Canis lupus familiaris: one gene and its partner. The protein of the gene in region 2 interacts with the protein of the main gene of each other region in a pairwise test. Links are inferred from orthologs where the notes say so. Each region holds a gene or a part of one and is shown on either strand. Other genes may lie near its edges.

Region 1 (8,106 bases), on a different chromosome or scaffold from region 2:
GGGTCCAACCCCTCCGGTCCTTAGTTTCTTCATCTGTAAGATGGACTTGACGGCATTAACTTTGAGATGAGAGACATCTATGAAGCACCTGCTATGTGTCAGGCGAGGAAATACAGGTATAAACTCCGCAGACCCAACTTCCCAGCCTTTGAAAACCTATGTTCTGGGGCTAAATGCAACAACGCCCTCCAAGCCCTTGGAGTGAGGAGTAGGTCACTCACTTGGGCGGGCCCCGGGGGTTACTGGGCTAGCTGACCTTGCGTTTCCGGCACACCAGGCTGGCAGCTGTGATAAGCTGGATGGCGTAGCGTAATGAGGTCTCCAGGCCGATGCGCGTCAGCACCGTGTAGGCGTCCTCACTCATTTCTACGTCTTCCTCTTCACACCTGTGGGCAGGTGGGGCGGGGTGGGGTGGGGTGGGGTGTGGTCAGCCAGGGCCAGGGCTCTGACTGCAGCAAACCCCTGGCTGGCGCTTCCCCCTGGGCGCTGTTGAAGTCCTGGGGGACATGTGGAGTCTATGTTCACAGAACCACAGAACGGCAAGCAAGAAGGGCCACTGAGGCATGGGCTGGACCTGTCACCTGGGCTTCCAACCCTCTCCAGCCAGGGCTCTTTCCCCAGTGTCAGCCACTGGCCCACCACCAGATCTGAGGCCATTGCTTGGTTGCCCAGCCCAGCCCAGCCCTACCTCCTGCAGGCCCAGAGACCTACCCCTTCAGACCTCACTGCCTCCACTTGCCAAATAGGGTGGGTGCCAGCCCTGCTTCTCAGACCCGTAGCCTGGTCCTGCCCCAGAACCCCAGGCGGCCCTGCCCATACCGGATGCGTAGGATCTGCTTTGTGTCCTTCTCACTGTAGGGAGAGGTGGAGACAATGAGCAGTCGGTCTAGTAGGTCGATGGGGATGCCATGGGGGCTCTGGTAGCTGGTACCCCGGATCCTGGGGAAGAGGAGAAAGGGAGGGTGGTCAGGGTGATGCTCCCAGAACCCAGGTCTCCATTTCCTCTACTTAAAATACCCCACCCACCCTCTCCATCACAGCCCACTCACTGGGCAAATATCACCTAACCTTCAGCTCATGGCTACTGTCATCACCAACTGTGCAGCTGTCCCCCAGCTGTGTCACCACCCCCGCCCACAGAAAACTGGGTTGGTCTGAGCTAGGTATCTATATCCAGGATTACTGAGTCAAGGTCTCACTCCTCTGCTTGACATAGAGCTCCACAGGTAAGAGACTGTGATGGTCCTATTCTGTGCTATTCGTGCTGCACCTGGCCCAGAGCAGGCCCTGGCACATGGCAGTGCCAGGAGAGAGTGGATTCTTGTAATTTGTGGTAGTGACATTCTATTAAGTGGGGGGGGGGGGGGGGGGCAGACACTCACTAGCAAATGATGAACCACTGCTTCTTGGAGATGTATGTGGTAGGTTCTTGTGAGCCTTTGGTCACAGTATTTTTGTCAACCAACCAATATATAACCTGGTTCTACGTGCTTCTGTTTAAAGACATCTTATTTAGCATACACTACTGACCCACTCGCATTGAACTCGTGGCAGACAGCACTCTACATCATGCCTGGAACGAAGCTCATCTGACACACACACTTTCTCTGTAAGGCACATCCATCCTCGCCTTGTGCCTGGGCAACTAGGGGGCCCTTTTAAATCCCAAATCATTAATAAAAAGCAGATAACACGGCATGAAAAGGACACTCAAAAAAAAAAAAAAAAAAAAAAAAAAAGAAAGAAAGAAAGAAAGAAAAGGACACTCATTTACAGCAGGTGAGCTGTAACCAGAAAGCAGGCAGGGCGCCAACTTGCTGGACCTTAGATTAGAGGGTCCACACCCAGTCACACAGGAGCACCAGAGTTGCCAGCACTGATGGGGGGGGGGGGGTAGGGGAGAGGGGCTTACAAATCCATTTAAGTGAGAGTACGTAGTAGACTCAAGAATACATTTTATGCAGATAACAGAGGAGCGACTTGGGTTTGTGCCCTGGCCCAGGATGTGCCCCGCGTGCAGCTGCCATACATTTACCCTCAGCTGGCCCCTTCCTATCTTCGTTAGGAGAGGCAACTCTGGCTCTGACACCTTCTCCATGCAACCTCAGGCACGTCACCAGGCCTTGCTATCCTCTGTAACGTGGGGCTGAGACAATATCCACCTCCTGAACTTCTTTTAAGGGTCAGAGCTGTTCACCCAGGAAACAAGCCACAGAAAATCTGCCCCTTTGTCCTCTGTAATGATGGCCACCCTCTACCGACCAGTTTTAGCTGCCACATGGCCACAGCACTGGAGAAGACATTCCTCAGCTTCCAGAGCAGCCAGGGTGGTGCTGGGCAGTGGGTGACGGTGGAAGTGCTAAGTGCACCCTCCAGGCCCCAGCTTCCCAGGGGAGCTGTTTACCACCCACTTCCTTCTCCCTGTCCACCAAAATACAGATGAGGCAGAGAAGAAGACCAGCTGGGACAACAGGACGAGAGGTGCTGGCAACACCCTAGGGCACAGATTCCCAGAACCAGGTGAGCTCCATGGCTCTAAAATTTTCCCCCGGCATTCTTAGGCCAAAAGCAATATTAAGTTTTGTTCTATAAGGTCGTTAGGGCTAAATGACCTAACTGTAGTGATGCAGGCAGTGTCAAACACATCTGTCTCTGTGCATCCCTCAGAAACTCAAAACATGGGACGCCTAGGTGGCTCAGCGGTTTGGCATCTGCCTTCGGTTCAGGGCGTGATCCTGGAGGCCAAGGATCGAGTCCCACATCAGGCTCCCTACATGGAGCCTGCTTCTCCCTCTGCCTGTGTCTCTGCCTCTGTGTCTCTCATGAATAAATAAATAAAATCATTAAAAAAAGAAAGAAGAAAGAAGAAAGAAAAGAAAAGAAAAGAAAAAAGAAAAGAAAGAAAAGAAAGAAAAGAAAAGAAAAGAAAAGAAAAGAAAAGAAAAGAAAAGAAAAGAAAACTCAGAACATCCCAGAGCACTCATGTGTTTTCAGCAGCATCCTGGCATGCCTTGGCACACAGTTTGGGAACTTGAGCCTCAAGGGCTACAGGAACTAAAATACAGAAAGAACATGATCCTCAACTTCCTGATGGAGCAGAACTGCCTGCCTACCGCCCTGAGCACCCGCCTGCTTTGTTTTAGGGAGAAGCTAAAAGACAAACTTTGTCTAGGCCCCCGTACATGGATAGCCTTGTGACACCAGCTAAGTCCATACCCTTCCTGACAGGGAACTCAACAAACATTCCCTGTTTACCCTGTGCCCATACCCACTACCTGGAGCACCCTGTTTCTCCCAGAGACCTCTGGGGAGGCCAGCAGCTGGCTCACCGGGTGATGCCTCGGTTGGTGGCCATGATGAGGACGGGCGCCATGTCACTCTCCAGGGCCCGATTGAGGAAGGAGAAGCTCTCAATGTCCAGCATGTGGACCTCGTCGATAAACAGCACCTGGGAGCCATTGGGGCATGTGTCAAACCTACCCAAGCCTCTTTCCTCCCATTTGCTCTCACTGTGAGCCGCCTGCCCTGGCCACACCCTGGTACTCACGCCAGGGATGATCTCAGCCTTGCCCTCCTCACGCCACTCGGCCACCTTGGCATTGATCTGCTCTCGGACTTCTGACTTGATCTCCCCTGTGTCGCCTGAAGGAGGTGGGGGTGACACAGGGAGTGTCAGAGAGGAGACAGGGACAGAGGGCCGGAGAGTGGACAGAGAGAAATGAAGATGGGACACCAGGGATAGAGGGAAGAGAGATCAAAACTGGAGTGGCAAAGTGACAGAAGGAGTGTCTCATTCGGTCTGCAATGTCCCAGAGAAGAAGACCCGAGGCAAAGAACCCAGGAAGAAGAGAGGGTAGGACATGCAAGCCCCCATTGGGACTATCCAAGAGGGAATGAGGGCAACAGTGTGGGTAGGACGAACCAGGGGGCTGTACTGGAGGTAGGAGGAGCAGTGTGTGCCATGAACAGAGCCAGCCTGCTGGGCCTCACCTGAGAAGAGAGCCAGGAAGCCCTGGGTGCGGGAGTTGATGACATCAATCTCATGCAGGGACACGGTGTGTACGACCTCCTTGCGTTTCTGGAGCTCTCCGTCTGGACACTGCACAAACTTGGTCTATGGGGCCAGGGGGCAGGGAGGGAGAGGTAAGAGTAAAGAAGAACATGAAAGGGGGCCCAAAGGGGCTGTCTGGGTGGAGAGTTGGGGGAGATTGGACTTCCTGGGGTAGAGCTAAGAATCCAGAAATCCCAGGTCCAAGAGGAAGTTACCACCAGGGCACTCGAGAGCACTGAAGGATCGGAGGTTACTGGAGGACCTCAGAAACCATGAGCAAACTGCAAAGATGAAGTGCCCTCCTTGTCCTGGTGGGTACAGGGAAGAACCAGGAGTAAGGGACATGGGGTGGGGCTACTGGAGGATCCGGACCCTCTGGGCCATGGGGGTGATAGAGGAGATGCAAACATCCTGGTGCCTGGAGTGAGCGGACCCCCAAAGCCCTGGCCCACCTGGGAGCCCATGGCATCATAGTCGCGAGCGCGTGTGAAGGAGCGGCCCAGCTTGGAGATCTTGCCTGTGGCCTTGTCGATGGTAATCACATCCCTGCATGTGGAGGAGGGTGGGAGTGAGGACATGAAAGGGCTCGAGATTCCCCCACCCTGACCACCTACCATGGCCCCCTGCCACTCACCCAGCCTGGACCTTGTCCTTAGTCAGGGACTCAATCATCTTGGTGCCCAGGTCGTATATAGTCTCCATCTCTGTGGTCTTGAGGGTCAGCTTGCCGACCTTAGAGCCCTGAGATGGGTGACAGGCCAGCCAAGGAGTTCAGAGGGGGCCCATTGTCTCCCCAACACAGCTTGGAAATGGGCATGACACAGGGATGCTTTAGGGGGCAATGGACTGTGGATATGTCAAAACTTAACATCCTATAAACTCTTTTAAAAATTATTTATTTATTTATTTATTTGAGGGAGGGAGAGGCACTGGTGGGGCTCAGTGGTTGAGAATCTATCTGCCTTTGGCTCAGGTCATGATCTCCAGGTCCTGGGATCAAGTCTACATCAGGCTCCCCACAGGGAACTTGCTTCTCCCTCTGCCTATGTCTCTGCCTTGCTCTCTGTGTCTCTCATGAATAAATTTAAAACATCTTAAAAAAAAAAAAAAAAAAAAAAGAGTGAGAGACGGGCAGCAGGGAGGAAGCGAGGAAGAATCTGACACAGACTCTGCACTGAGTGCAGAGACCAACGCAGTACTCAATCCCATGACCATGAAATCGTGAGATCATGACCTGAGATGAAACCAAGCTTCAGGGATGCCTGAGTGGCTTAATGGTTGAGTGTTTGCCTTTGGCTCAGGTCGTGATCCCAGGGTCCTAGGATTGAGTCCCACATTGGGCTCCCTGCATGGAGTCCGCTTCTCCCTCTGCCTGTGTCTCTGCCTCTCTCTCTCTCTGTGTCTCCCATGAATAAATAAATAAAATCTTTATTTAAAAAAATAAATAAATAAATAAAAGAAAAGAAACCAAGCGTCAGACGCACTACCAAGCCACCCTGGTGCCCCAACATCCTGTACTTTCACTGTGTGCAGCTTATTGTTTGTTGGTTGCTCAACAAACCGATTACTAAAAACCCAGGAAGATAACAAACAACAACTTACCTAAAAGATAAAGTCTTTAAGAACAGCAACATGGACTAGAGGGCCCTGATGTGGGGAGGTGGGAGTGTGCCACACTCTAACATTCCTTGTTTTATGTCCACGTAACTTGTGTTTTTTTTTTTTTTTTATTAGTCACAAACCCAGAAAACAGAGCTAAGCTAAACACAGCTAAGAAAACAAAAATACCACACTTTCTCCCCACAAAATAAGCACAGTCAGTGTCTTCCAGCACATCCACTTGTCTCTTATTTCTAGTGAGCTGTTCTTTTTGTAGGGAAAGATGGCAGGACAAAAGGGCTGGAATTCAGGAGGAAGAGAGAGATGGTTTTGGTTTTACATTTTTATTTTATTATATTTTAAAGATTTATCGATTTATTTACATAATCTTTACATCAGAGGCACCCGGGTGGCTCACTTGGTTAAGCATCTGACTTTGGCTCAGGTCATGATCCCGGAGTCCTGGGATCAAGCCCCAGCTCTGGCTCCCTGCTCAGCAGGAAATCTGCCTCTCCCTCTCCCTGTGCCCCCACTTATGCTCTCTATTAAAAAAAAAGAAAAGAAAAAAGAAATCTTAAAAATGGGCAATCTTGACTAATGCATGGGAATGCATTGCTGGGTGATAAAACCAATGACACCCAAGAAGTGAAAACAGGCAAGGGCAGCCACCCTTGTGAGGATGTGGGGTGTTGTAGAAAGAGCAATGAGGTAGGGATGGGAGCTGGCAAAGTTCTTTTTTTTTTTTTTTTCTTCAAAGTTCTAATTTCTTATCTTGGTGGTAGTTCTAAGGAGATTTGTTTTATAATAACATACTAGACCATTCGCTTATTTTACGTGCTTCTTTACATCTGTTGCAATTTACAACAAAAATGTTGGGGCATTTGGGTGGCTCCGTGGTCGAGCATCTATCTGCCTGTGGCTCAGGTTGTGATCCCAGGGTCCTGGGATCGAGTACCGCATCAGGTTCCCTGTGAGAAGCCTGCTTCTCCCTCTCCCTATGTCTCTGCCTCTCTCTCTCTGTGTCTCTCATGAATAAATAAATCTTAAAAAAAAAAAAAAAAAAGTTAAAATTCTTAGCTGAAAAAAAAAAAAAGGGAGCAAATCACCATGACCATGTAAGCTGGATAGGAAACACCTTTTAGGGCTAAGCTGCATAAAATCTCACAGAACAGGTTCTTAAGCCTAACCATTAACTGTGAGATGAACACTAGGTGTTTACCATGACATGTTGGCAAACTGAATTTAAATTATTTTATTTAAGATAAATTTTAAAAAAGAAAAAGAAAGAAAGAACGAACTGTGAGAGGGACACCTGGCTGGCTCAGTGAGAACAGCATGCAACTCTTGATCTTGGGGTCATGAGTTTGAGCCCCGCATGTTGTAGGCAGAGATGATTTAAATAAATAAAAGTTAAAAAAAAAATTTAAGTGTGAGGAACTTCCAGACCTTCTCTGTCATGACACCACTTGCTTTTAACGGCTCAGGGCGTCACTCACAAGTGGATAAACTGGGGCGCCTGGGTGGCTCAGTGGTTTAGCGCCACCTTCAGCCCAGGGCGTGATCCTGGAGACCCAGGATCGAGTCCCGTGTCAGGCTCCCTGCATGGAGCCTGCTTCTCCCTCTGCCTGTGTCTCTGCCTCTCTCTCTCTGTGTCTCTCATGAATAAATAAATAAAATCTTAAAAAAAAAAAGTGGATAAACTGTCAATGACCCCCACAGTACACAGTAGAGGGCTCTGACCTGCAGCTCAAACATCCAACATCCCTTGGGTTCTGGCACCCCATCCTCCAGCCCTGGAGGTGGCCCAGGCTCAGCAGCAGACTCACCGTCCCTGTGGCTGGACGGTCAATCTGGATCTCCACCACTTCCCCTTCAATGATCTCAGTCTCCTCCCTAGGCGGAAAACGGATGTGAGCAGAGAGCCCGAGGCCCAGGCCCTTGCAAATGGCTAACTCCCATGAGCCCTTAGGCATGGGACAAGCCGGACAGGGCAGGCAGGGGTCATCCCAAGGCCACTGCAAGCTAACTCCATCCCCCACACCGGGTCCTGTGCTTACTTGATTCGAACGCCAATAGAGCGCCGGAAGGCCTGGGTCAGTGCCTCTGTCTTACTCATCTCCAGCGAGAAGATCTCACTGCCCGCGATGGCTGTGAACGGGGTGTCAGGGCCCAGGGCCTGTGCCATGCCTGGGGAAGAGGTGGTCTGGGTAAGTGGGGACAGCCTGGCACCAGGTCCCCAACACCTATTCTGTGTCAAACCAGCTCTTCTCCCTCCTCAGGAAGTAGCGTAGGTGAAATACACACAGTGTTGGGGGCAGACAGGGAGACATGGAGAAAGCCAGGGATGGCGGGCTACATAGAAGACCTGGACTCGAACCCCATGCTGACCAGAAGGTCAATTTCATGACCCTATAACCTCGCCAGGGCTTTAGAAGTTGTTTAGCCTTTTAGGCTTG
Region 2 (3,976 bases):
ACACATACGTACGTCTATGCTTCATCTATATCTGTATCTCCATCTACATGTAATGCATATGCTAGGTTGGAATCGTGTTTTCCAGACTTTCCAGAACACAGGCACCCAGAGGCTGCTTTGGGCGGACAAAATTTGGAGTGGCTGCTCCAGAAGCAGGCTCAGGGTCTGTCTGCGACAGGCTGGCACTCTGATGAGGTGCAGAGGAGAAATATTCTCCTTCCACTCACCTAGTGAAGGATGGAGAGATTCCTGAATAAGTAGATATCCACGCGGTGCTGTGTATGTGGCTGGGGGTGAAACTGGGATTCAAAATCACATCGGCGCAGCTCCTTTCACTATCTTCACTGAGATAGTCCTTCACTACCTGCCTACACAACAGGGCCTCTACTGGGAAACGTCTTCCCGCCTCCCCCAACAGGCCCAGAATACCTACAGATGATCCCTCTGTCTGTGGTCCCAGGGCATTACTGCACCGCACGTAGCTGGTTGCACACAACTAATTCACAATGTTTGATCAAATTGAGAGTAGAGCTCCTCTCATCTGCACTCCTAGTATCTCCCATGGAAGCAGGCATGGGGTAATTAAATAGTATTTTTGAGCGCTCATTACGTGCCAGCAAAGGCTTTACATGCATTCTCTCATTTAAACCTTAAGACAACTCCATGAACGAGGTGATACTATTATTCCCATTTTGCCTTTCAGAACACTGAGGTCATAAGAGTTAACTGGATTAACTCCAGGGCACAGAGCGAGTGGAAAATAGTACCGAGATTCAAGTCTAATTCCCAGAATGTGCTCTTCGTCGCCTGTTCTGTTGTCACCATCTTGCTCTGAATGTTCCATGAGCAAATTCCTACTGTGGGGAGTGGTCCCAATCTGAAAAGCTCCCCCTCAGTCAAAGTCCCCTCTTTATGCCAAGCTCAAGTGTGAAGCTCCTGTCCCGTGGAGAGTCTTCTCATGTACGACCTCCACCCTCGGCCCCCACAGTGCATTCCTTCAGCACGCCTTGGCCACATGGTTTGCACCGTGCTCCGATATGTGGCCCAGTGCTGGGCACCCAGAATGCAGCTTATCAACATTTGGTGAACTGGATTCGGCGCCCAGGGATGGATGTAAACAGCGATAAATAACAAGGTGGCATATCGTACTGGATACTCTATTTCTGGATTTTCTAGGCGAATGAGTTCCAATTTCTAAAATCCTATCCTCCCATCGGATCATTGGCCACAGAATATGTGGCAGAGAATATAGCCTGGTATTTTGGTTTGAAGAAGCACCTGGCTGGCTCAGTCTGTTGAGCATCCAATTCTAAATTTCGGCTCCGGTGGTGATCTTGGGGTCATGCTCGGCAGGGAGTCTGCTTGAGGATTCTCTCCCTCCTCCCTCGCCCCTCCCCATGCTCTTGCTCTCTAAATAAGTAAGTAAATAAATAAATCCTTAAAAAAAAAAAGGTAGAGTCACCGTTCTACTGCAAAGAGGCAGGAATAGAGACAGGATGTGCCCTCTGTTACTCACCTACCCACATGTTGGCAGGCAAGTCAAATTTCCCTGGACCTAAGTCTCTCCGTGAGTAAAACTGCAATGGCAATACCTATTTCCACTACAGAAATGAAGCAAAATAGGTGAATATGTTTCGGATACTGATGAGGAATAATGTTATATGAATCCAATTACTGTTAGTGGGGTTGTTTATGTTTTTACTGACCTGTTGGACCAGTAAAAAACAAACAAACAAAAAACCCCAACAAAATAAAAGAAGCAGTTTTTAGTTTTGAAAATGAAGGAAGAAGTTTCTTGTGAAGAGTAGCGCAATAAAAAAAAATCAGGTATTAAAAATGTAGATATCCTGAGGGCCTTTCTGGAGTGTTTTGAAAAAGACATACCTAGACATTCTAGCTTTTGGCTGTCTTCAACAACTTGGAGGGGCGGTGTGGTGGGTGCTGGGGGGTGGGTGGTCGGGCTAAGGGTGGGAGGCTGGGCTGGGAGAGTTAGGAGCAAAGTGTCTCAAATCGCAAAGTGTCTCAAATCACATGAGATGTTCCCTGGAGGGGGAGGCGGGACTCTTACCTTTGCTGCACGGTGAACCGGTTCCCAGTCGTGTGAGGCCTCGGGTGGGGGGCAGTCCGCTTGGGAGCTGATCTTCTGTGGCCCAGGGAGATTTTCTCTCTCTTTCCTGTGTCTCCTCTTCCAGACAGGCATGAAAACCATTCGGCCTTGGAGGTAATCAGCTCACCTCCTGCCCCTTTTGCAAGGCTTTGTGTCATGCTGATCCATGAACCCGAGAGCAGCCTCCCAGGAGCTTCCAGGGAGAGCAGCCCCCCCACCGAGCAGCGCTCATTAGCATCAGTGACTAATCTGTTCTGGTCTGGAAGGGGCCCAGGCTCCCTTGACCGTCCCTGTGCTCTCAGGAAAAGCCAGGATCCTTTTGTTCACCTTTCGGCCTGCCAAGTCAGTCCTACCGCACCCCTGAATGTTGTTTTCCTGCAGGCAATGGGAAAATGAGCTGGGAGCCAGAGAAGGGAAATCAACAAGGAAGTAAACACAGGGTTCACTGCACCTTCAGGTCCAGGTCGTCCCCAGGGCCTGGGACATCCTCGTGCTGGGACCAGTTCCTCAACAGGCAGGGGCTGCTGCCTGGACGGGCCTCAGAACCCTGGGCGTCTTCTTATTTTTAATTATGCAGAGAAGCATGAGCTGAAATGGGTATCAGACAAATCAAGGCATCCCGACTCGTTCCACGGCCTTGCCAAGACTTTAAAAGATTTTCCATAGGCAGCATCTCTTATAACGGAACACGGCCTGATGTTTGTCAGACAAAGAAGAAAAAGATGAGCAAGTTCATGGCTGATATTAGTTAAGACCTTTAACTCTAAAGAGACAGGACTGTTGTTTAAATAAAAGGTAAAAAAAAATAAAATAAAAAAAGCAGTTTTTATTTTTGAAAACGAAGGAAGAAGTTTCTCGTGAAGACTAGCACAATAAAAAAAAAATCAGGTTTAAATAAAGGTTTCTCCTACTTACTCGTGAACAGCGGGGTCAGCATCCGCAGCCCAGCAGCATCTCTGCCAACATCTGTCGAGGGCTGACTGGCTGCAGGGTCCTGTGCCATGGCCTGACCTGCATTATTATCTCATTTACTTCTCCACATAGTCCTACAGTTATCATTCCCATCGTATAGGCGAAGAAACGAAGGATTCGAGAGCAAAGTGCTCCGGCCAAGCGCTCCAGAGAGGTGTGAATGGAAAAATTGCCCTTTTGGAAGTGTGGCCTTCCCCACCAGTCAGCTTCAGGACTTCTGTTCACTGGCATCTCTGGCGATGGCCAAAGAGCTTGCTCCCTGGGGCTGTGAGTTCGATGCCATCTTTATATAACTTGTTTGTAGCACACACCGGGCTGGGCACCTCCTCTTGTCTCAACCACAGTGGGGCTGCTGGCTGCTATAGACCCGGCTCCCCCCTTGGGGCTCCTATTTACGCACAAGGAAGTGGGCTACAAATCTCTGGGCCTCTCTGTGTGCTTTGATCATGGTCTGATTGTGAGTATGCCCTTCTGGTTTTAGGAGCCTAACAGTTATGAGCTTCTTTTAATCAATAATCCAAGGGATGAATGACAAGGAGTTCACAGCCTGAAAACCTCTCCCTGGTGAGAAAAAAAAAAAAAAACACAAACCAGCACATGTGTTCCCAGTCCTCAGGTCACACTGCAACGTGTTTTGGTTTTATTGGCCTCCTCCTTACTTCCAATTGTTAGCATTTAGCTCTCCTGTGCCACGGCGGTTCCCCGGGACAGCTGGCCGCTGGTCAAAGGAAAGTAAAACCGTTAATTAGGAGACAAGGAGATGCCTCCCAGCGGGGTCAAAGTTGTCTGTTTTTGTAAATATAGGAGTTGCGACATCAGGGCAGTTGCTCACCCTTGTTACCCTGGGGTTGGTTTGGGTGGAGCTTTGGGGTGTCTGGCTCTGAGGCCACATAGGCC

The links.
Region 1: the proteins of LNX1 (region 2) and RUVBL2 interact in binary tests that used the Homo sapiens proteins (3 or more experiments, as listed by UniProt). The two-hybrid records come from large-scale screens. The link is inferred for Canis lupus familiaris from reciprocal best matches to the Homo sapiens genes LNX1 and RUVBL2.

What each region holds. Positions count from the first base shown.
Region 1 is NC_049222.1:108,059,002-108,067,107, forward strand, and holds part of RUVBL2 (ruvB-like 2), read right to left. Parts: intron 7,838-8,106; coding exon 7,708-7,837; intron 7,544-7,707; coding exon 7,477-7,543; intron 4,793-7,476; coding exon 4,686-4,792; intron 4,598-4,685; coding exon 4,504-4,597; intron 4,115-4,503; coding exon 3,991-4,114; intron 3,643-3,990; coding exon 3,548-3,642; intron 3,449-3,547; coding exon 3,330-3,448; intron 940-3,329; coding exon 820-939; intron 387-819; coding exon 257-386; intron 1-256. UniProt on the Homo sapiens protein: Possesses single-stranded DNA-stimulated ATPase and ATP-dependent DNA helicase (5' to 3') activity; hexamerization is thought to be critical for ATP hydrolysis and adjacent subunits in the ring-like structure contribute to the ATPase activity.
Region 2 is NC_049234.1:46,944,372-46,948,347, forward strand, and holds the start of LNX1 (E3 ubiquitin-protein ligase LNX), read right to left. Parts: upstream 2,801-3,976; 5' UTR 2,069-2,800; intron 1-2,068.